3 linked regions of the Stegostoma tigrinum genome follow. The protein of the gene in region 1 interacts with the protein of each later gene in a biochemical or structural test. Links are inferred from orthologs where the notes say so. Each region holds a gene or a part of one and is shown in the gene's direction. Other genes may lie near its edges. The genes, in order: ntrk2a, tyrosine-protein phosphatase non-receptor type 1-like and bdnf.

Evidence for each region.
Region 2: the proteins of ntrk2a (region 1) and tyrosine-protein phosphatase non-receptor type 1-like form a complex in vitro, tested with the Homo sapiens proteins (2 studies listed by BioGRID, with this or other methods). The link is inferred for Stegostoma tigrinum from reciprocal best matches to the Homo sapiens genes NTRK2 and PTPN1.
Region 3: the proteins of ntrk2a (region 1) and bdnf form a complex in vitro, tested with the Homo sapiens proteins (3 studies listed by BioGRID). The link is inferred for Stegostoma tigrinum from reciprocal best matches to the Homo sapiens genes NTRK2 and BDNF.

What each region holds. Positions count from the first base shown.
Region 1 is NC_081356.1:59,861,510-59,869,346, reverse strand, and holds the start of ntrk2a (neurotrophic tyrosine kinase, receptor, type 2a), read left to right. Parts: upstream 1-4,788; 5' UTR 4,789-5,077; coding exon 5,078-5,472; intron 5,473-7,837. UniProt on the Homo sapiens protein: Receptor tyrosine kinase involved in the development and the maturation of the central and the peripheral nervous systems through regulation of neuron survival, proliferation, migration, differentiation, and synapse formation and plasticity.
Region 2 is NC_081372.1:40,246,866-40,254,124, forward strand, and holds the start of tyrosine-protein phosphatase non-receptor type 1-like, read left to right. Parts: upstream 1-4,244; 5' UTR 4,245-4,360; coding exon 4,361-4,417; intron 4,418-7,259. UniProt on the Homo sapiens protein: Tyrosine-protein phosphatase which acts as a regulator of endoplasmic reticulum unfolded protein response. Mediates dephosphorylation of EIF2AK3/PERK; inactivating the protein kinase activity of EIF2AK3/PERK.
Region 3 is NC_081370.1:53,221,576-53,229,633, reverse strand, and holds the start of bdnf (brain-derived neurotrophic factor), read left to right. Parts: upstream 1-4,979; 5' UTR 4,980-5,071; coding exon 5,072-5,092; intron 5,093-6,869; exon of another isoform or gene 6,870-7,015; intron 7,016-7,029; exon of another isoform or gene 7,030-7,126; intron 7,127-8,058. UniProt on the Homo sapiens protein: Important signaling molecule that activates signaling cascades downstream of NTRK2. During development, promotes the survival and differentiation of selected neuronal populations of the peripheral and central nervous systems.

The sequences.
Region 1 (7,837 bases):
GATCATCAGCTTCTTTTTTAGAGATAATGAATAGTCTTACTTCCTCGATTTGTTAAAATTAAGCACGGATATGAGAGGTATTGATTAGCTTAAACATCTAACATATAGCAACAGTCCCAGTCATACTGATTTTACTAAAATGAACATTTATTATGAGGGTAAGACAATGGATTATCTGAACAACTTTGTCTGAATGATATTGTATTATTAAAGAACTTAGACCTTAAGACCATAAGATGTAAGAGCTGAATTAGCCAATTGGCCCATCAACTCTGCTTCACTATTCAGTCATGGCTGGTATGTTTCTCAACCCCATTCTTCCTCCTTCTCCCTGTGACCCTTGACTTTAGGCCCTTACTAACCAAGAACCTATCTATCTCTTTTTTTACATACACACAGTGACTTGGCCTCCACAATCTTCTGTGGCAATGGGTTCAATGGATTCATTGCCCACTGGCTGAAGGAATTCCTCCTCATCTCAGTTCTAAATGGTTGTCCCTTCACTCTGACATTGTGCCCTTGGGTCCTAGACTCTCCTACTATTGGAAAATCTTCTCTAGCCCACTTTATTTAGGCATTCTGCAGTATTCTGCAACTTTGAATGATTCCCCCCCTCATTCTTCTACATTCCATCAAGCACAGACCTCAACTGCTCCACATATGACAAGACCTTAATCCTCACGATCATTCTTGCATACCTCTTCTGGATCCCCTCCTTAGATACGGGGCCTAAAACTGCTCAAAATATTCCAAATGCAGTCTGACTAGAATCTTATGCAGCCTCAGCATTACATCTCTGCTCTTGTATTCTTACACTCACCTTCCTAACTACCAACTGAACTGGCATGTTAACCTTAAGAGAATCCTGAACTAGAACTGCTAAGTTCCTTTGTGTTTTAGATTTCTGAAGACTTTTCCCATCTAGAAAATGATCCATGCCTTTATTCTTTCTGCCTCAGGGACAGCACGGTGGCTCGCTGCTGCCTAATAGTGCTGGGGGCATTTTGAAGTAGTAGCATTATCTCTGGATTGTTAATCCAGAGAGCCCTGGGTAATGTTTTGGGGACCTAGGATTGAATCCTGCTATGCATATAGTGACATTTTAATTGAATAAAAATCTAGAATTAAGATTCTAATGATGATAACGAATACATCATTAATTGTCAAAAAGGCCCATCTGATTCACTAATGTCCTTTAGGGAGGGAAGCTGTCACTCTTACCTTGTCTGAACTACATGGTACTCCAGCCCGCAGAATGTGATTGGCTCTCATCTGCCTTCTGGGAATTTAGGAAGTGGTTACAAATGCTGGTCTAGTCAGCAAAACCCTTCTAACTTTAATTCCAGCCTTGGGTAACAGTTTGTGTGCAGTTTGCATGTTTTCCTCATCTCTGCATGGACTTCAGTCAGGTGCTCCAGTTTTCTCCCACAGTCCAAAAATGTGCAGGCTAAGTGGATTAGCCGCAGTCAATGTAAGGTTTTGGTGATAAGGTAAGGGGTTGGGTCTGGGTGGGATGCTCTTCAGAGGGTCATTGCAGACTCAATAGCCAAATGACCTCATTCTGCACTGTAAGGCATCTGTTAAGTACTTTTTCTATGAAGTTCCTAGGAAAGTGCATAATGTACCACAAAAAAATTACCCACAATATATACCACACGCCACTTCTTTGCTCATTGGCCTAGTCTGTCTAAGTCTTTTGGAAGACTCCCTGCATCCTCAACACTATCTGCCCATCTGCCTATTTCTGCATCATCTTCAACCTTAGCAATGATGCCATCAGTTCCTTTGACCAGATCATTAATGTATTATGTGAATAGTGGTGGTCCCAACATGACCCTTTGGAACTCCACTACTCGCATGCTGTCATGTTGAAAAAGATCCGTGTATACCTGCTCTCTCCCATCTGCCAGTCAGCCAATCCTTTATCCATGTCAATACCATGCCCTAACACGGTTCTTATTTCGCAGTTTCCTTTGTGACTGCTTGTCAAAAGCTTTCTGGAAATTCAAATCGATGACATCCACTCATTCTCCTTTGCCTAACTTTTCTGTTATCTCCTAAAAGGATTCCAATAGACTTGTCCGGCATGATCTCCCCTTGATGGAGCCATGCTGACTGAGCCCTATTTTACCCTGCACACTTCCAAGTATTCTGCAATCTCATCCTCATTAATGGACTAAAATCTTACCAATGATCGAGGTTAGGCTAACTGGCCTATAATTTCCCGTCTTCTGCCTCCCTTGACAACACCAACAATGAATTCACCAACGCGAGGTACAATTCCCATTCTGGCTGGATTAGACTCGAGGCCAGTCACCTCACTCTATTTAAAGTAAAATGTTATGATGCAACTTAACAAGGAGAACATTTGAATTGTTCAGTATAGAAATAACAAAGGGATGGATGAGGTCTCCGTCATAGAATACCTGACGTAGGTCAGAGTTGAACAATTTCCTACGAATTTATCCATTTCCCTTAAAGTGTTGTGTGTTTGTTCCTAATATCTCAGCCATACATCTGCAGCCCCAAAAATGTCAGCCTTACCCATTCTCCTAATCAAAATTGTCGTTAAACAATTGGATTATTTATTCACTTGGTGACTTCTTGGAAGTTTTTGACATTGTAAGATTCCTTTGCCTGATGTTAACAGGTCAAAACCTGTGACCTGACCAACCTTGTAGATCTGACGGCTTGTTTCATTTTTGCCTCTTTTCCGATGTAGGCTTGAATCGCAGGTGATACCTAGATCCAAACATCTTAAGATCGTTTCCTGTTAGAATTTAAATTGTTGCTTGCACCTTCCAAATACATATTGAAATGTGGATGTCGTCTAGAACTCTTGGAATCATTTTTATGTGTTAATTTATGTTTAATGATCATTCGTTTGTGATTTAGAAATTGAGCAATTCACTTGCTTCCGTCTTTTTTTAAACAATATTTCGTAGGCACCTGCTTAAATGTGGTTTGCAGCTTGGATTGTCGCTTAAAGAAATTGTCCCCGGGAAGAAGGCACAGCGAGCAAGATGTGCCTTACCGCAGACGGTCGGGGCTGCAGTGGGGGTTATTTTTGGAAGCTGCAGTTGCTCTATTGTCCGGGAGGTGTCAGACCAGCTCGTCAGACGGCGGAGCTCGTAAAGAGCTTGTTTGTTGGATTGCTGCAAAGTGCGAAATCACTGCGGGAAAATTCACTGGGAGTTGCGCGTGTGTGAGAGACGGACGTGGGTGCGTAGTGAGATTGACAGAGACAACTAGAGAGAACGGGAGGGCAGAGATGGGCAACACTTTTGACAAAATTATTAACCATTCAGTTATGAACATTGTTGAGTTTTATGCGCGGACAACTGTGTTTCCTGTATGAGAAGATCAGTGTTAAAGAGCTGTTGACTTATACAAGGACGTGAGCTTGTAATTTTTGTATTATCTCAACGGACTTGGAGGAAAAGAATAACTGTTTGCAATAACCCAAACGCCTTTCAGACATGTTCTTTTATTAGGCACCATTTAAAAGTCAATGAGCTAAATGTAGGAATTCGATCACGTCTGTATGTGAATTCATGGTATCATTCCTGACCAAGGCTGTAATTCAATATCTGCGGGTAATATTAGCAGTTTTAGCAATTCGACTGGCTGTTATCTACGTCGAACATTGTGATGTCCGTGTCAGCCTCAATTGCTGCGGTACCAAAATTAACACATGCACGGAAATGTACACATGCACATATAAACACTTAGATACACACACCCATACATTGGTGTACACACAAATACAAACACACATCCACAGATCTACAGCCATAGATACAACCACGCATACACACAATATATACACACTCTTTCAGATATACATATCCCCACACAGATATACTTACGTACGTATTTACATCCACACGCTTGGACACAGACCCACATTCAGATATACACCCGCCCCCCCCCCCCCCCCGCAGATACATATATAGATATATACACCCAGATATAAACACGCACATCAGCTCACAGTAATATCTCCATGCAAACAAATATGGATAAACATCCCCATACAAGTGTGCACGGCTACAAATCTACACTCACGCATATACATATAAAATGCACATACACAGATATGCATCTTTGAAGGGCAGTGCAATTCAAATCCTTCAAAACCTTTGAAATCAAATTTCTTCACCGGACTTGCACCGTCTGGGACGTGATTGTCCTTAAGATTAGATCAGCGACAGTCCAACAAACAGCAGCACTGGGAGATTTGACGTGAACTGCTTGTTCCAGGCGAATTCTAACGGTGGGGGGGGGGGGGGGGGGAGTCAATTTTCCGGATTACACATTCCCCACAAACACTGCAGCTAGATTGTTTATTAGATGGTGTTTGTGAGAAGAGTCGGGAGAACAGATTATTCAGTCTGTTGATTTTTGTGGCTCAGGGTACTGCGCTGGGAGTAGCGACCTGGTTTGGAGCAGGAGATCCGAGTCGCTGGTTGCAGTTGCCCTGGTGGGCAGTACATTTCCAACCTCGTGGCCAACGACCATCACATTTCACTGCTTCTCGGCTTCTTTACTTTCTTCCCTCTTTTATAGTTTTCTTTTTTTGTGGGGGGGGGGGTTCAAAAAACCTCTCCTTCATCCCTTTTCGTGCGTCAGCCGCACGTCATGTACAGCAGCTTCCCGAATTGGATGTAAAAAAATCGAATAGTTTACTGAGGTGGTGGTGGTTTGGGAAGGGGGAGGGAGAGTGGGGGCGGAGAGGATTAAAAAATCCCGGACAGAGCCCCCGGCAGCATCAGGCAGTTTGGGGGGTGGGGGGTGGGGGGACGTTGGTGGCAGGGACTGACTGATAGAAAGAGAGAGAGAGAGAGAGAGAGTGACCACTGCGGCAAGAAGAATGCCCCACAGCCAAGGGAGCACACACTCACTCCAGCTCTCCCGGAACCTCACATAGTGGATGCGGTTCCACAGCGCAGCGGCTCCCTCTGTACAGCTAACAACACTTCAGATCGCCCCCTCCAAGAACTGACAGATAGAGAAAGCTCCTTCACAGGGATTTACAAGCGGGAGACATCGTTCTAAAGACCTTGTTTATCTGTATATGCTGCAGATTGCTGTCAGTGAGACCGCACTGCTCTCTATTGGCAATCTACGGATTATTCCAGGTTTACACCAAATACAAAACCACACTCTGCTGGCGGGATCTGCGCCTGTTTTTTTTATTCTACGGGGGAGTCGCTCCCGATCTGGAGTGTGGAGCAGAGACGAGCTGACGATGGCCTCCTCATCTCCGAGGTGTTGCTGCGCTAGCCTCAGGAAGACTGTGGCCAGTCTGCTGTTAGCGCTGCTCGGCACGGTGCTGGCCTTTAGCAGCTTGGTTCTCGCCTGTCCTGCTTTTTGCAGATGTAGCAGTTCCAGGATCACCTGCACTGACCCCGGCATCGTGGCTTTCCCGGTGCTGCCGTCCGCAGCAGAGATGGAGAACATCACAGAAATGTGAGTACCGACTGGGCAGGCCGGCCAGTAGCAATGAATATGCGAAATCTCAGTTACTTGTTGTCAGTAGAGCTGTTTTGAAATTAGCCGACTAACACCATCAGTGTAATCCATCTCTCACTGTGTTTATTACCGAGCTGAAGATGAACCGTTATAGCAATATAACGACCCATCCGAGATAGCTCCTAATTGCACTCTCTCCAAGTCCTGTTTTTAAATCGAAAAAAAACAGATACCAATAGCGAGAATCCCTTTAGGAATTTCATTCACAAACCGAATCCAACTTCTCCTTAGCGAAAACACGGTTCCGATTTATTTTAAAACCAAGTGTTTGTCGCCTCGAGCAGTAAAGGCTCCCCCCCACAAACTCAATTGAACCTGCAAATATTCCAGCTCAAAAGAGAGATTGGTTGTGGACAGGCTTTCAATCATTTTCACACCGAGCTCACGTTAGACTCGACTTAAGTTAATTTAGTTAACGTAATAGTATATTTCTTCGCTGGTGTCTAAAAGAAGACCATTTCATATTAGAACGTAAAGAATCACGATGCGTCTCGATAGCAATGCTGCTTATTTGGAAATGAATGTTTGAAGGTTGGAGATTACCGTCCGCCCACACCAGCCAGCTTTCAAAACACATTTTAGGTTTTATGGTTACTGAGGCTACATAGAATAAGTTTTGTTACTCTCCACATACTCTTTCTAGCCCCGCCATCTCCCTATCCTGAGGATCTTTCTTACTGTTAGGGGACCAAAGTACTTGTTGCACTGAAACAAAAAAACAGCTTCCAATCGTGTTGATTCTGCCTTCCGTTTCTGTTTGCCTCTTTCTGAATTATTTCATGATTCAAATGGTATCAACTACAGGGAGATCTCCGAAGCAGTCATCATTTCCCTTCCAGCGATAACAGTTTGGTTTATTTTGCTTTCCAAGTATTCAGCAAGTTTCCGGTGGAAGGAGGAGACGTTGTTGTTTGTTTACATTCTGATTGAAATTGAAAACTTTTCAAACTGACCTCGGAATCTGCGAAAAGGAATGATATCCTCTTACCCTCCTGAGAGAACGATGGCTTTAACTGGCGCCGCTTTCATCCCGGAATCGAATCCGCGCGTTCTCTTCTCACGGAGCTGACAGACCTCCGCTCGATCAAAGTTTCCCCAACACCATCTCCTTCAATTCCCCTCCCTCCACAACGCAACCTCTCTGCCTCTCCTCCCTACATATCCTCTCCTAACCCTCTCTCCCTCCAGACCTTCTCCCTCCATTCCCATTCTCTCCACTCTACACCCCCTCTACGCCTACCACCATCTCCTCACCCTCCCTCCATACACCCCTCCCTCCATAATCTGTCCCTTCATCAGCCTCCCTCTTCCCTCCACCCCCTCCAAAATCCAACTCCAATCTCTCGATCTTCTTTCCCTCCGGCCTCTTTCTCTCCAGCCTTTTTCGTTACTCTCTCTCGACACTTTCCCCCTCTCCACTCTGATCTCCACACTTTATCCGGGTCATAGTCTCTATCACCGCACTCTGTCCCATTCTATACTTCTTCACTTGGTCCATCGACACTCCAGCAATCCACAGTCCTTCCCTTCTCTCTTCCTTCGCACATTTTACATCCATTTTCTCTTTTCGCACTCTTCCGCCCTTCACATTCTATCCATTTACTCTATCTTCCTCCACTTCCTGCTATTCCATTCTCTGATTCAACGTCCTTTACTTCTACACTTAATTTATTTGCATACTGTTTCACTAAGTTCACCTAGTCCTCGGCACTCACGCCCTCCTTGCTGTCTCTCCACACTTTGACTTATATTTTCTCCATCTTCTCTCCCTCCATGTTCTCCCACCACCACCCCCATTTCTACTGTTTCCAACGCATTCTGTCCCTCCAGCCTCTCTCCATCCACAACGTTCCTCCTCAACTCCGCTCCTCTACACTCTCCCCCACCATCCCGACAAGTTTCAGTTTGAGCCCAAGTAGCACAGATCTAACTCAGGGTCAGCTGCGGCTTACAGCCAGGACTGTTCATGAATATTGCAGCGTTGCCGCCCCGGATACTGTATGCAAACAGGTTCCTTTCGATGTCTTCTTGTTGTACAAAATAAATGATTTAAAACATATCTGGTGAACATTTCTATTCAGTGAATAAGCAGGAATGATCGCAGGTGCCTTGGTGATTTTAATCTGTCATTTTAATATATTTTAGTGATGAGAAATCCTTTAAAACCCATCTCTCAAGACGGTGTCGGGCCCAACAAGATTCGCGTTCAGCCGATTGTGGTCACTGGGTTTCAGAACTCCGAAGCAAATCCCTTGGCCCCGACTGTCACTTTTACCGCTGGGTCAAAATCGATTCTTCGGAA
Region 2 (7,259 bases), on another chromosome or scaffold:
ATTGCTGTGAATGCTTCAACCTAATCTTTTGCACTAGAGATAATGGGAAGTGCAGATGCTGGAGAATCCAAAATAATAAAGTGTGAAGCTGGATGAACACAGCAGGCCAAGCAGCATCTCAGGAGCACAAAAGCTGACGTTTCAGGCCTAGACCCTTCATCAGAGAGGGGGATGGGGAGAGGGTTCTGGAATAAATAGGGAGATAGGGGGAGGCGGACCAAAGATGGAAAGAAGATAGGTGGAGAGAAGAGTATAGGTGGAGAGGTAGGGAGGGGATAGGTCGGTCCAGGGAAGCCGGACAGGTACCGCCCCCACCACAACCGCCCCAAGAGGATCCCCCTCATTCTCACACAGCACCCCACCAACCTCCGGATACAACGCATCATCCTCCAACACTTCTGCCATCTACAATCCGACCCCACCACCCAAGACATTTTTCCATCCCCACCCTTGTCTGCCTTCGGGAGACACCACTCTCTCCGTGACTCCCTTGTCCGCTCCACACTCCCCTCCAACCCCACCACACCCGGCACCTTCCCCTGCGACCGCAGGAAGTGCTACACTTGCCCCCACACCTCCTCCCTCACCCCCATCCCAGGCCCCAAGATGGCTTTCCACATTAAGCAGAGGTTCACCTGCACATCTGCCAATGTGGTATACTGTATCCATTGTACTCGGTGTAGCTTCCTCTACATCGGGGAAATCAAGCGGAGGCTTTGGTGGTATCTGGGATGTTGTTTGTAAAGTATGATTCCATGAGTATGTCAGGCTATTGCTTGACTGGTGTATGAGACAGCTTGCTCATTTCTGGGATTAAGAAGGACTTTGCAGAGTTGACAGGGACATTTCTGCTATTGCCTTTTCCAGTGTCTAGGTCAATGCCAGGTGGTCCTTTCAGTTTCAATTCTTTGTTGAGACTTCATGATGACTGATACAACTGAGTATTTCAGAGGGTCAACCACATTGCTATGGCTCTAGAGTCACGTGTAAGTCAGACCAGATGAGGATGGCAGATTTCCTTCCCTGAAGGGTATTAGACATTAGTTATTCAGATAGGTGCTTCCAACAATTAACAATGGCTTTAGTGATCATCAGAAGATTAACTCCAAATACTTCAAAAACTCCAAATCTGTGGTAGGATTCGAATCTGAGCCCCCAAACTTCAGTTAATTTCTAGATTAATAATCTCGCAATATTATCACTTGATCATCATCTAAAGGCTTGGTAAAAGTATCTTTATCTGGTTGGCAAGGCATAACTAGTGGGGTGGGGGGGGCACAGGATTCAGTGCTTGGGGCCCAACTACTCTCAATCAATATCAACAATTTGGAAGCAGGGATAGAAAATACTATGACCAAACATATAGATGACACTGAAATAGGTGATAAAGTAAGTTCCAATGAGGAAGCTTCCAATGACCCTTCGTCACTGGACCCAAAACGTTAACGAAAACTTCAGTAGGTCTGGAAGCATCTGTGAAGGGTAAAATCAGAGTTAACGCTTTAGGTCCAGTGAGGAAGGGTCATTGGAAGCTTCCTCATTGGAACTTACTTTATCACCTATTTCAGTGTCATCTATACATTTGGTCATAGTATTTTCTATCCCTCCTTCCAAATTGTTGACATTGATTGTGATTAGTTGGGCCCCAAGCACTGAATCCTGTGTCCCCCCACCCCACTAGTTATGCCTTGCCAACCAGATAGATACTCTTACCAAGCCTTTGGATGGTGACCAAGTCATCATTTCTGTTTTTGCCAGTGGAGACTTTGCCTAGTTGCAATGAGGCGAGGCATTGAGCAGAAGGGTTTGAGATTCCTTAATATTTTGAATGTCTCTTTCAAGAAATGAAGTAAGGTGTCACCGTTTTGGCATTTTAAATATTAACTTCATGCACACTGATGATACTCGAGAGCAGGAAGTGCCCTTCCAACCAAATGTTGGATATCTTAGGTTACATATTCCAGAATTAAGGAATGAACATATTTTGCTTTAATTTCTGTAAAATCCTTAGAGTGTGGTCTGAAAGACAAAAAAACTTTACACTAAAAATCTGATTAACTGACCAAAAACTTACAGATCAAACATATTAATATGATTTTCTTAGCATTGAAAAATCCAAAGAATTTCAGAGGTCAGTTGCCTTTGTTTCTGGAATGGTCAGCAACTAAAATGGTGAGATCAAAGACACTTAACTGTCCATTTGTATTTTTATCATGATCTATACTTAGGAAATAATTGGATCAAAGTTTTCTTGATGACAGGACAGTTTCTATTTAAAATGCTGTTGTAGGCCAATCTGCACAGCTGGGGAAATGGATAAATTGAAGTTCATCCAGAGATTTCTTAGCCTGGATAGAGAGTTAATATCTCAACTTTAACATCTGTATTACAGAAGTCATTTTGTGGCCCACATTAACTACAAAAATGTTATTAGGTTCACTGGTAAAAATCAAGATGGTCAATGAACAAATCACCAAAGTATGGTATTACTTTGATTGCACTTTTATTCATAAGTCTTGCAGACTATAAATTACAAAATTCAGATTATGTGCTAAATGGCTGCATCATCAGTAATTACTGTATTTTATTTCCATACATTTAAAGTTGAATACAATCATTTGTTAATGCGATACTTTTCAATCTTTGTAGCAAGAAACCGTGGAGGTTCTCTCTGTAACCTCTAATGCAATGATCATGGTTAAGAGATAATTAGTTGTTCAATTAGAATAGTACACTTCTCACAAACCACATCATGTTGAGTTTTCAGTTTCATGGGATGGGCAATTTGTCCCTCTGCCATAGAATGGGGTTGGGTGAAATATTGAATTGTGACTGATTAAGAAAAGATTAGAGATGTTGAATAATATACTAAAATGAGCTGGAAATTAGAACAATATAGTAAGATATATCCAGAAACTTTCAGGGCGTCAACTTTGAGTTGCAAGTTTTTTTTTTAAATTGGTTTTTCAATCTCTTACAATCAATGATAACAATCTCATGATGAATATATTTATGAAGCTTTCATGATTTGTCTAGTTTCCTAAGAAGAACCACCGTTTAGACGAGAGGACCATTTGAATTCAATGGTCTTGTCACAATTTTGTGGCCTTTTCTCTCAATTTGTACCTCTCCAGAGATAAGAGCAACTTAAAAAAAATCAGAAATTGAAACTGAAATAGGTCAAGCACCAACTGTACAGAGAAACATAAGTGATGTTTCAGGTCTAACATTTATGATCACCTTTCCTCGACAAAGAGAAAAATCTGAAACGAAAAAGAAATAAAGTGAGGATACAGAGTTTATGGCCAGAAATTTTTAACTTCATACTGAATGCAGAAGATAGTGCCCAAGCAACCAATAAGCATGTTGTTTCTTAGGCTTACGTTAAGAAATAACTGATTTGGCCTTTCACTGAAACGCTGCAGCAGGTAAGTGATCTTGGGTAACTTTCTGAAAGAAACACAACGCGGGGATCAGTCAAAATTGTTGATTTATTCATGTCTTCAACAGGACTTTCCAAACAGTCCCGCTACCTGGCAAATTGTTTCATAATTCTTTTAAAACTAAATGTTTTTAACCCTGAAAGACTTTCAAATCCTTCCTGTCAGCCTGGAGGACACTTACGTCATGGATAAAGTAGAGATTAATGAACTTGATCATATCATTAGCAACGTTCAATGATACAAGAACATCACTTTGCCATTATTGTGGTTACTGTTTCTTAGCTCAGGCAATTCTGTTAGATCCACCTACCGGCATACAGACTTTACTTTGCCATGAGCTCAGGTTTGGTTTGGATTTAGACACAGTTATGCTCTAACGAAGCCCCGAACACATTATCGGCTGGACTTTCTTTCCAGAATCTTCAAGCTGGCCCGCCACCAGGGCCCGTGGGATACAATCGGAGATTGAAGAACTACATCTCCCAGTAGGCATCGCGAAGCCCTCCGTGGATGCGGTATAAACATCGAGGAGCAAAGCATCCCGGATGTATGGAGCTGCACCCAATGTAAACAATTCCCCGTTTTTATGAAGCAATATCTGACTTTTCGGACTGAGCAATGTATTTCGGGCCGCTAGTCCGCACAGTCCTCTGGGATTTGGTAGGAAACGTCATTTCCTGGACAGTTTACTACAATTCCCATTAGGCAACACGCAAAGCCGTCCTGCGTTCCGTATTCTGATTGGTAGGGGCTGGTGCCAGTCATGGGTTGATGGTGTGTGTTTCCGGTGTGTGGTCGAAGCCCTCCTGCTGCGAGGGAGTTGAGATGAAGTGGTAGGAGCGGAGCGCGAAGGGGAATTTACAGCGTTAGCGTGAGGCCCAGAGTGGAGAGGAGACAGGCACAGCGCGCTTGCAGTCATGGAGCAGGAGTTCGCGGAGATCGATAAACAGGGCAACTGGGCGATGCTTTACCAGGTGAGGGTAGTACGAGTGTCCGGGATCGGGAGGGCGAGTGAGCGAGGCTCGGGAGCTTCCACCCCGCAGCCCGGGGGTTCGAGTTACATGCTGCCGGGAAGGAAGTGTAGACCGGTGGGTGCAATACCTGGGTCTGTATATTGGCAGCTTATGTGTCTGTCTTGATTCTGTGTGTTAATCATGTCCCGTCGGTGTGGGAACCGCTCGTGGATTGTGGCGGGGTTTGTCTAATTAGTTAGTTCAGTCAGCAACCACTCCAACAAATTATTGTGCAAACACTATAACCAGAAACTGTCAGTCTACTGTCTTGGTAATAAAGTGACTCACACCGACTTTTGAGAGCAGCATGGGCAAATGGTCTTTGTAGTTGCCGAGGGTGGTTTTTTCCTATCTGGAGGGTGAATTTGCTTTTTTAAAGCATCCGGTAACATTCATGAAATACATTGTTCCCTGATTTCGTTTGCCAACTTCAGTTATTAAATCATATCCTGGTTTCATTTTACAACAGTAACTAATTAGCGGTAATTATTGGTGGTTATAATAAGGTTAATTTTTGAATTAATTTTGACCAAGCCTAATAATGATCGTTCCCCATATCTCCCACGCTGTCTTGACGCTCTTTTGCCTGAGCATGAGGATGTCTCTTCGTGAAAATACTGTTGCAACTATGAAACGATGATCTGCAAATTCTGAGTCTCTTTCTGTAGGATGTAAAAATGAACTTGGTTGCATTTATTTAGCATGATAGGTTTTTTCACTTTCCTAAACTTGGGTGGACAAGTAAGTAACTTACAAATGTTTTGTCCTAGTGAAGTATGCAAGGCCTCAGATCGCTTATGTGCATTCCTTTGTACTAACCAGACCTAAAAAATCTACAAAATTATGAAATAAAAACTGAAAGAACTGTGGATGCTGGAAATCAAAAACAAAACAGAAATTGCAGGAAAAGCTCAACAGGCTTGGCAGCATCTAGAGAGAAATGAGCACTAACGTTTTGGGTCCATTGACCCTTCCTCAGAACTGATAGCTAGGAAAAAGTTGGTTTTCATGTAGAACGTATGGTGGGAGAGGGGCTAAGAGTAAATAGTAGGTGGGGAGAGAGCCCAAGGAGAGAGAAGAACAATTGGACAGGCAAAGGAGTGAATAATGAATATCCTAAGAGATATAGATATTAATCGGGACTATTTGTAATAGTAGACCATGTGATAACAAGGCCTGATGTGTGAGGGTTGGGGTAAGGACATGGGAGAAGGTGCCTCACGCTCTAAAATTGATCTTGATATTGAGCCCAGAAAGCTGTAGAGTTCCCAAGTGGAGAATGAGGTAACGTACTTCCAGCTTATGTTGAGCTTTGCTTCAACAAGCCTGAGACCAAGATGTTGGCCAGGTAACAAGGTGGTACAGGTGGTATATTGAAATGGCAGCCAACCAGAAGCTCAAGGTCTTTTTTTTGTGGACAGCTCGTAAGTGTTCTCTGAAGCAATCACCCAGTCAACCCTTTGTTTCCCCAAATTAGAGAAGACCACATTGTGAGCGGTGAATGTAGTAGACTAGATTAAGTGAAATGTGGATAAAGCACTGCTTCACCTGGAAGGTATATTTGGGTCCTTGGATACTGAGGAGGGAGGAAATAAATGGGCAGATGTTACACCTTCTCAGGTTGCTGGGGCAGGTGCCATGGGGCTGTGGGGAAGTGTTTGGCATGAAGGGGGAGTGGACGAGTGTGTCCCAGAAGGAATGGTCTTTGCAGGAGGCTGAAATGGAGGGGATTGGAATATGTCTGCTGTTGGCATCCCACTGGAGGTGGCACAAATGGATATAGATGTTGTTGGGATAGTAGGTGGGTGAATGGGGTGACCCTAATCACAGTTGTGGTAGGAAAGAGAAGGGTGAGGGCTGACGTTTGGGAGATAGGTCAAACCTGGCAGAGGGCCCTGTCAGCTACCGTGCTGGGGAATCCTCGGTTGAGGAAGAACATGGCTATCCCCTTGTTGAATTTGACATGTTCAGAACAGATGTGATGGAGGAACTGGGAGAATGGAATAGTCTTTATAGGATGCAGGGTGTATAGTCAAAGTAACTGTGTGGGTTGGTCGGTTTATCATAGATGTTGACAGCCAATTCCCCAAAAGTAGAAATAGTCTGAGATGTGGTAATAGGAACTGCCAGTGCTGCAGAATCTGAGATAACAAGGTGTAGAGCTGGATGAACACAGCAGGCTAAGCAGCATCACAGGACAAGGTGTAGAGCTGGTGTCCTGCTCCTCTGCTGCTTGGCCTGCTACGTTCATCCGCCACTACGCTTTGTTATCTCATAGTCTGAGATGGTCCGGGAGAAGGTGAGGGCTGGGTGGAAATTGGAAGCAAAATTGATAAACTATTCCAATTCTGGATGAAAGAGGGGAGCAGCACCAATGGTATCATCAATATTCTAGAGAAAGAATTGTGGTTGGGGGCTGGGATTTGACTGGAACCAGGAATGTTCCACATACCTTACAAAGAAACAGGCATACCCAGGGCCCATGAGGGTACCTATGGCAACTCTTCTGACCTGAAAAAAGTAAGAGGAGTTTGAGAAGTTGTGCAGAGTGAAGATGGTGGAGGAGGGTGGTGGTGAATGGGGACAGTTCATCCCTTTTTTCCAGAAAGAAGTGGAGAATCTGGTGACCACCCTGATGGGGAATGGACATATAAAGGATTGCATCTCCATGGTAGAGAGGAGCCCACAAACTAGAAATTTTGAAACTAATGTAAAATATCAGAGAAATTGTAGATTTAAGTGAGAAGGGAATGAACAAGGGGAGAAAAAAATTGAATCGAGTTAGGAAGAGCTGAGTTCTGCA
Region 3 (8,058 bases), on another chromosome or scaffold:
GCATCTAAAAAACTTTAATAATTTTTAGCCATAAGGAGATTGTCACAAGTTAGGCAGTGTGCTCTTTTGATGGTTCTCATTGGTAAGACAGCATGAGTCTTGCAGGCCAGGACATTGAGAAGTCCAAACTCTTACTTATTCAATTGATATCATCCAGAATTATGGTGTAAGTGTTACACCAATCTGTTGAGGATGGAAATGTCTCCCAAAGATTTGTGCCCCTGTTTGTTATTGAGTGAATACATTTCTGCTTCCTGCAAATGGTTTGGGTGGACTTGACGAAAAAAAATTGCACTCAATTGTAATATTACGTTTAAATGGCAACTGATGCTCATAGCCAAGACTCATCCACGTGTAAAAGATACATGGATAGTAATGTCACCATATGACTAATCCAGAGGCACAAGTTAATGGTCTGGGGACATTGACTTGAAACCCATTACAGCAGCTGAATTCAGTTCATAAATCTGGAATTGAAAGCTATTCTCATTAATAGTGTGTGTGTAATGGTCATTGGTTCTTGTAAAAACTCATTTGATACACTCCTGTCCTTCAGGGAGGGAAATCTGCCATTGTGTGGCTTATGGCGTGACTTCAGAACCACATTAATACAGTTTACCCTTAACGTCCCAATGAAATGGTCTAGCAAGCCACACAGTTCAAGGTCATTAAGGATGAGCAACAAATGCTGGCCATCAGTGACACCCACATCCTGTGAAAGGCTTAAGGGGGAAAAGTCAGTTAGATGAAGCCTGGAGCCTGTGGGACTATGGGAACCATGCTGTGAGGAGGGAGGGTATGTGGCTCAGAATATATGACAAAGCAAGTCATGATCTACCTGATCAGATGGGCATAAAAGAACTCTTTGTTCTATTTGAAAAGGAAGGATGAAGACATCCTGGACAACATTTGACTTCAACCTATACCAGCCAATGATCCAGCCAATTGGCGACCTGTAACAGCCAAGGAGAGAAGCCATTTTTACTTTTTTTGTGATTTGTTGTGCAGAGTCATGTCATCGCAACTGTAACTACATTTCAAAAGAAATTGACAATGCAGTACAACAAAACTTTCTCAGGATGTAAACGGTGGGATATAAATGCAGGATTCCAGGCGGACCTCTCGGAGATCTGTGTTCTGGGGGATAGACAGGTTGTCCTTTATCTGCTATAGATCACAGCTCATCCACAGAGGGAAAAGGTTGAATTTCTACACCTTGTGGAGAGAGCCTGGAGAGTCAATGAAATCCGTGTGTAACCACACAGTCACTGGTCAAATGTAGGCTGGCTAATTGTGGCTGCAGCTCTCTCTGGAGAACATTCCTACTCAACCTCCTGGGAAATCTTTGTGAAAATGTGTTTTGCGGCGTCAAGCCTCAACAAAGGTAATGAGCTAGTGCCTCATCTCCGACCTAGCAAGGCAATAGAGCCTTGTAATACCATGACGGTATGGTACCATTTCAGACAACGCCCCCTCTGGGTATTTGCAAGATCGACTGTTGTCTATGTTAGGTGGAACAGATGTTTAGATTAGCAGGAACGTTCTTTATAGACGTTTTCCATATCAACCTGCTCAGAGATATTATGACATACCTCTGGAGTAGTTGGGCCTCCTGGCTTAGAGGTAAGGACGCTACCACTGCTCCACAAGAGCCGTCAGAACGCACCATCCTGTAAGTGTTAACTGGAGACCTGCTTGTCACCTTTCAGATGTGATCTGCAAAGAGAAGTGTACTACAAATACATAAACCTGAGCCAATCCTTCTGGAACGTTCAGCAGCCTGACGAGAACTGGGTCTCGGTCCTTTCTTGAATCGAGGCTGAGTCTGGTGGTCAGCTGGGCTGCAAGGCAGGTTGAGAATGAAGCCAGGAGTGTGAGGTTCCGAAGCAACGTTTTAACCAGAGATTGCAACATTGTGCACGAGTGTCATTTGTTGAATCTGGCTTCTGTGGGAAAGTTTCCCACTAATGTGGGTTCCGGGCAAAGCAAACAAAAAAAATAAAATCTGTGACCAAGCTTCAGTAATAGCTCACAACTGTGCGTTTACTCGGGCTGCAAGTTGAAATTTCGCGGATACTGACCAACTTGTATTTTCCTGTTCAGGTAGAACATTATAACTAGTTCCTTCATGGGTCACTGCTGCCTGTACGCTGCAAGTCACGTTGCCCGGTTGGGGAGACTACTTTAACTCAGTGCCAGAAATATTTGCATGTGAAGGCTTTACCTCACAACTGTCACCTACACAACATCAACATCAACGACCCCTCTGCCCAGAACGTCCAGAGCACCTTTTCTCAGACAGCCTTTCTCAGAAAATAATAAGAAAAACTCAACGCCATTTATTGTTATACTTCCATGTTATACTTTATAAATTGAGAGTTAACCTTTGAGTTGGGAGCCTATTCTAGAGCTCAAGTACAGATCGAGCTGAAAAGTAGTCACTATGTCGAACAGCTAACCTTTCACTGAAAGCACTGGAATAATTCAGTACGCTTCCCTGTGTCTTATTCTGAATTTGCTTTCTCCTCTGTCTGGCCCTCTGTCTGCAGCGGTTGCCCTTTGCGTCTCTATCTATTAAGGAACGCATTTGAATCCCAATCCGGGGTGCCGTACATCAGATATACAGTTGCACCTTCGCAGGTACTTTAATTATCGACATTATGTGCTACCTACATCTGTTTTGCTTCTATGTTTGTCTGCATTTTGTAGTCCATTCCACAGTCGTCTATTCCTTGAGAGTGCGTTCAATCACGCAACAAGTGCATGCATGAGCATGCTGCTAAATTGTGTTTAAAAGTGCTTGGCTGTTTATAACTTGTCTGTTTCAAAGTTATCATCTGAACTCTGCGCAGCTTCTAGTGCTGAGTGTAAGTGAAGCACGGACATGTGTAAGAAGTGATGGTATGGACCATTTTGTAAAGCATCCAAGCCATCCACAGACCAACACGTCTATATGGTTTATTACTCATATTTAAATGCACGTCATCTTGGATGTAGGGTATCTGTCACTTTCGGTTGTTATTTGGTTCTTGGGCTTGACTCTTGCAGTAAACCTCCAAGGCTAGGTGCATAAGCTGAGGAGCCACGCGTTTGACAACCCGCAACAAAAGCTGTGCGTGTGTACGGTAAGTTGGAATGATATCCACTTTCTGTGTCCGCGCGCAACTGAAAGGCATTGCGGTTGAAGAAGACACACCAGAGGATTTGAGCTTTATTTTTTTCACTCGGTTTGGCAAGTTTAACAGGTTGTGGCCCTGTTGTGGTCATCGATAATACAATTTGCATTGTTGATGATGAACTGTTTCAGGTAGGGGGAAAGAATAAAAGTGTTTTCTCTTTGCAAAAGAGCGATCAACATTACGGTGCGTCTGGAAGAGATGATGATTTCAATAGCTTGGTGCAGCAGACATTGCTAACTTACAGCTTCGGGTAGCCACACTTAACCAGACGGAAACGCTAGCACTTCCCCAGAAATTTTGTGCGTGAGACAGAGGTTTCGAAAGACAAAAGTGCTCCCTTACCTGTTCTACGCAAATCCCTTCGATCCTGTGCTGAACTCGATAGTTCTCGATAGTTAAGATAACCACGTGTGCAAGAAGTTAAGTTAAACTACTTTTCGAGACAGGGGCAAAAAAGTTCTGTTTTTTTAAAAAACAAAATCAGACGCGTTAACTTAACCCAGCATACTGTCCTCACTGTGTCTGAACTGAGTGTTCTGAAAAGACCAGTCATATAGGATCTGATAGCCCGCTATTTCCAAAAGCAATTATTTCCTTAATTCATTAGAATCACGTAAGCCCCAAAACGTCTCCCTGAGCGAATGTGTTGCGTAAATGTAGAAGCTTAAATCACCTCTGCGTACGTGTGCCTTGCAGTCACTAAGGTGTCGGGGATTTCAGCGGCGGATATTGCAAAGAGTTATTACATTCATAACTCACAAGTAGTGGGCGATTGACTGAGCAAGCAGAAGTTCACATGATGACTTCAAACAAGGCGCATTACCTTCCAGCATCTACTGGAGAGACGGGATTTTAATCCTCTTCGCTTTCCTGGGCGGTTACTAACGATGGTAAGCGGATTGTCAGGGAGGGGTGGAGGGGTTGGGGAGGGGGCGGTTTTGGTCAGTAACTGCGATCGCCCTTATTTTTTTTAATAACGCCACGTTACCATTGGAAGGTGAGAGAGCATTTCTCACACCACTGGGGGATATCGCCCGCACACACACACGCATACGCCCTCCACTCCCCCCCCCCCCCAGTTAAGTTAAACTCATTCCTTTGGAAATCTACAATTGATTGGAGATTTGGTGGGCGATCAGAGGCAGATATCGACAGTGGTGCAGTGACACTGTCTCTACCTCTGGACCAGAAGGTTTGAGGGCTCAAGTCCCGCCGGGAGGTGTGTCTTGTCATCTTTTGGTAATTGAAAATATAAAGAGGGCAGCAAGAACTGGATGGTAACGCCGGGTGTTGGGTTTCTGGGGGTGCAGTTCAGTACAGTATGGTGACTTACCCCGCAAGGAGCTGATCATCAGATCTTACTGGGGTTCGGGCGCGGTGGAGGGGGGGGGGGAGCAGACTGACTGGCAAAGCCATATTCACGTGACACGGCGTGGGTAAGTCGCATCTGATACAAATATGAAGTCGCAAGTGCTGAAAATAGAAGTGTTATGGAGTATTTGGGGAGGAGGGTAGCGGGTCGGAGGAAGGGAACCATTAGCTGCTTCTGGGGTCCTGACGCGAGTCTCAGGTGTGTCTCTCAGCACCCGGGACAGCCTGAGCTGTCTCGGCCTCGGGGATAAGAAAAATCAACTCTATCCAAAGATATCGCGTCACCAGACGGTGATTGCCACGAAGGAGAGGGTTAGATCTATAAAAAAAATCTTTCAAAGCTGACAGCGTTACTACGAGACCAGCTGAGGCGCAGAGCTGATGGTTGGAATTTTTTTTAACAGCTTGGGCGAAGTTTATTACGGTACAAGCAGAGTGTGAGGAAAATATCCTGCGAACAGGCAAGGTCACTGTATTGTAACTTTGTGAAATGGAAGGGTTGATAAGGATGGTTTAATGTGATGCCGTTTGCACATAGCAGGGTAAGTGAACAGCATCTGCCGTGTTGTTTTCTCGCCCAATCTGGCTAGCAGTAAGGATCTTCCCTGTGTATCCCGGACAGGGGCCACTTGCATTTTGAGCTTACTTTGGTTGAGGGAGATCAGTGATGTTGCAGAGATTGGAAGGTTCTCTTGTCAAGTCCCACACACACACACACACGCACACGCACACACACACACTTAGCCTGCTTCATTCTGAGAGTTCATCGCATTTTCTGAGCCAGGCGAAGTGTTTTTGTTCCAATATTCTTCCTGTGCCCGGCTTGCGAGAGAGAACTGTAGGTGCAGGAGAAGGTTAGGTTCAAAGTTGCGTGTCAGTGAGCAAGGGCTGTTTAGCGAGCGGGCGCTCCAGGCAGGGATAGAGAAAGGGACTCTAACTCCAGGAGGTCTGGTGCTCTGGCTATTTGGGAAGGACTACCCCGCAGAAGCTGCATACTACCGCACACCTACACTTCACAACACAAGAGACTCGCAGCAGCAGACGGCGCTGTTTTCAGCAAAAACCCAAATCCCCACAACACCCTCCCCCATCAAAACAAAAATCCTTGCAGTTGCCCTGACAGTGATCAATGCAGGTAAGGGTCTAAGGCAGGGCTCCCGATTGGAGAGAACTCGGTATCAGCCAAAGCTAAATGCAGTTGCAGAATGTTAGGGACCGCTCGATACCCTCGGTGTTGAACGTAACTTATTATTTCACACAAACACACACACACACATACACACTAAACATGTTTCAGACTGGAGCTTGGTTTGGGTGTGGAAGGGATTTGCTCAACTATACCCAGCGTTACAATAATGTGAAGCTGCAGATCACCGTAGCCGACGGGGGCAGAAGGATAATTTAATAAACAGTAACCGATTGTCTTTAGGAAGTGGTCTCCGGCCCCTTCCTGATGTGCTGTGCCTCAAGAGAGGTGACCTTTAGTGTGAATGTTGATTTTGATTGTTCGCTGGGGTGGGCGGGTTGGGTGCGACTGGTCACTAGACATAACTGTATATACAGACCGCGCGCTGCTGAAGTTAAGAGACCAACTCTCCTTGTCTTTCTTTTGTCATTTCTGGTTTCTGGGCTGACTGTATTCCAGAATGCAGCGTGTGAAGTTTGCCTCAGGAGCTAGACTCATTCCACAGGGATTGACGGTGTGGAGAGGGGATGGGCTATTGGAAATCGGGGGCATTTTGTGATATCGCCCTTACTATCAGGGTACAGGCGGTGAGAGTGTAGACCCTTTTCCCGATAGAAACCCAAACATCCAATGTACTAGATTTAACCAGCTAATTCCCCACCCCCCCACCCGAACACCCCGGTCCTACACAAAACAAAACAGCAAGGGAAATGTGAGGCTGGATGAACACAGCAGGCCAAGCAGCATCTCAGGAGGATGCTGCTTGGCCTGCTGTGTTCATCCAGCCTCACATTTTATTATCTTGGAATTCTCCAGCATCTGCAGTTCCCATTATCTCTCACAGCAAGGGAAAGGTGATTTCCATCTTAGACCTTAAGAAACGGGAAGCGGAGCAGGCCGCTCGGCCCGGTGAGCGTGCTCCCGCTCCTACCCCGTGTGCTAACGCTCCCACATTAAGCCAGACAGGGGGAACTGGTCCTTTCTTTTTCATTCAGGACGAGGAAAAGTATTTTCCCTTCGCCGGTTGCCAGTGAGACAGCAGAGACGAGGCTTTCATTGGATGCCGGTTGCCATGGCAACGTGAGGAGCAGCCTTGCCACAGGCTCTGTGGTTCTCTCCCTCGGTCCCTGTGACGGTGATGCCCGCAGTTTGGATTCGCTCTGAGCAGGTCCCCACCTAAGCGTGTTGCTGTCATCAGCGCTCCACTTCAGCCCGCTGTGTCTACTGTTACACCCAGGTCCCCTGGCACCAGATCGTAAAGGAAACCAACAAAAAAAAAGTAACTCCCCGTCAAAACAGGGTTTCTTCCAGCTTTGGGCACCAGCTGCGCTACCGCAACTAAACAGGTTCCTTCCCGTGGCATTGAAAGCGGAACAGTTCTGAAAAAAAAGTGAGAGCGAAGGAATCGCCTCTCTCCATCTTAGCATCTCTGAGTGTTTGCTGCATGTGAGGGTGGATTTTGATTCAGGCTGTTATTGTCCGGGGTCGACCTGGATACGATGGTCGTAGAAGAATTCTGAATTGTGTATAGAACGGGATTTGCTCAGGTCGTCTGTAAACCCAATGGTTTGTTGACAGAGTGTACACTGAGGAGCCGGGCTCGCACCAGGAAAAGCAGGAAGGGCTTTTAAACCCTGGAGCTTGTCAAGAGTAGTGCAGTATTGTTTCTCTAGGAGCCCGTCAAAGAAATAAGAAGAACCTCACTGTTGAAGAGTTATCGTTATTGAGTTTATCCACGGGAGCGTATGTAGGCGTGAGTCCCGATCTGATGATTTGCAGGTTCCACTGGGAATTTTCCGCGATGTTAAAAGTCACAGTGCTAGAATTGCAATGAGTCCGTTTTAATGAGGTCTCGATTCAAAACGGCCCACTTAGCCTTTAGGTTTGGTGTCAACATCTTTCAGAGAGAAGTGCAAATTCATAACGAATACATAATTATGTCAAGTGCAGCTAATTACACGTTAAAGCCTGGACAGAGAGAAACTGTGGAATAGCAGGCAGGCGCGTGGGTTTTAAAACTCCTATAAATATTCATACATTTTACTAAGGGCGATACTTTTTTCTCTAACTCCACCCCCCACCCCGTGCTGCAATGTAAACTTTCTGGGCAATAATTAATCCCAAATGTGGGCGTATGACATCTAAGAAGCAGTGCCAATTAGTGGGTCAGTTCCAAACACAGTTCAAGAGCACCCCTCACCGGCCTGGTCACGATGTCCACCTACTCACAGATTCTAATATTCTTTTGAATCGAATTTTCTTTTAAAAAATGATCTTTGCTGGAATTGCCCGAAATTCTCACAACGAATGTGATTAGTCCGA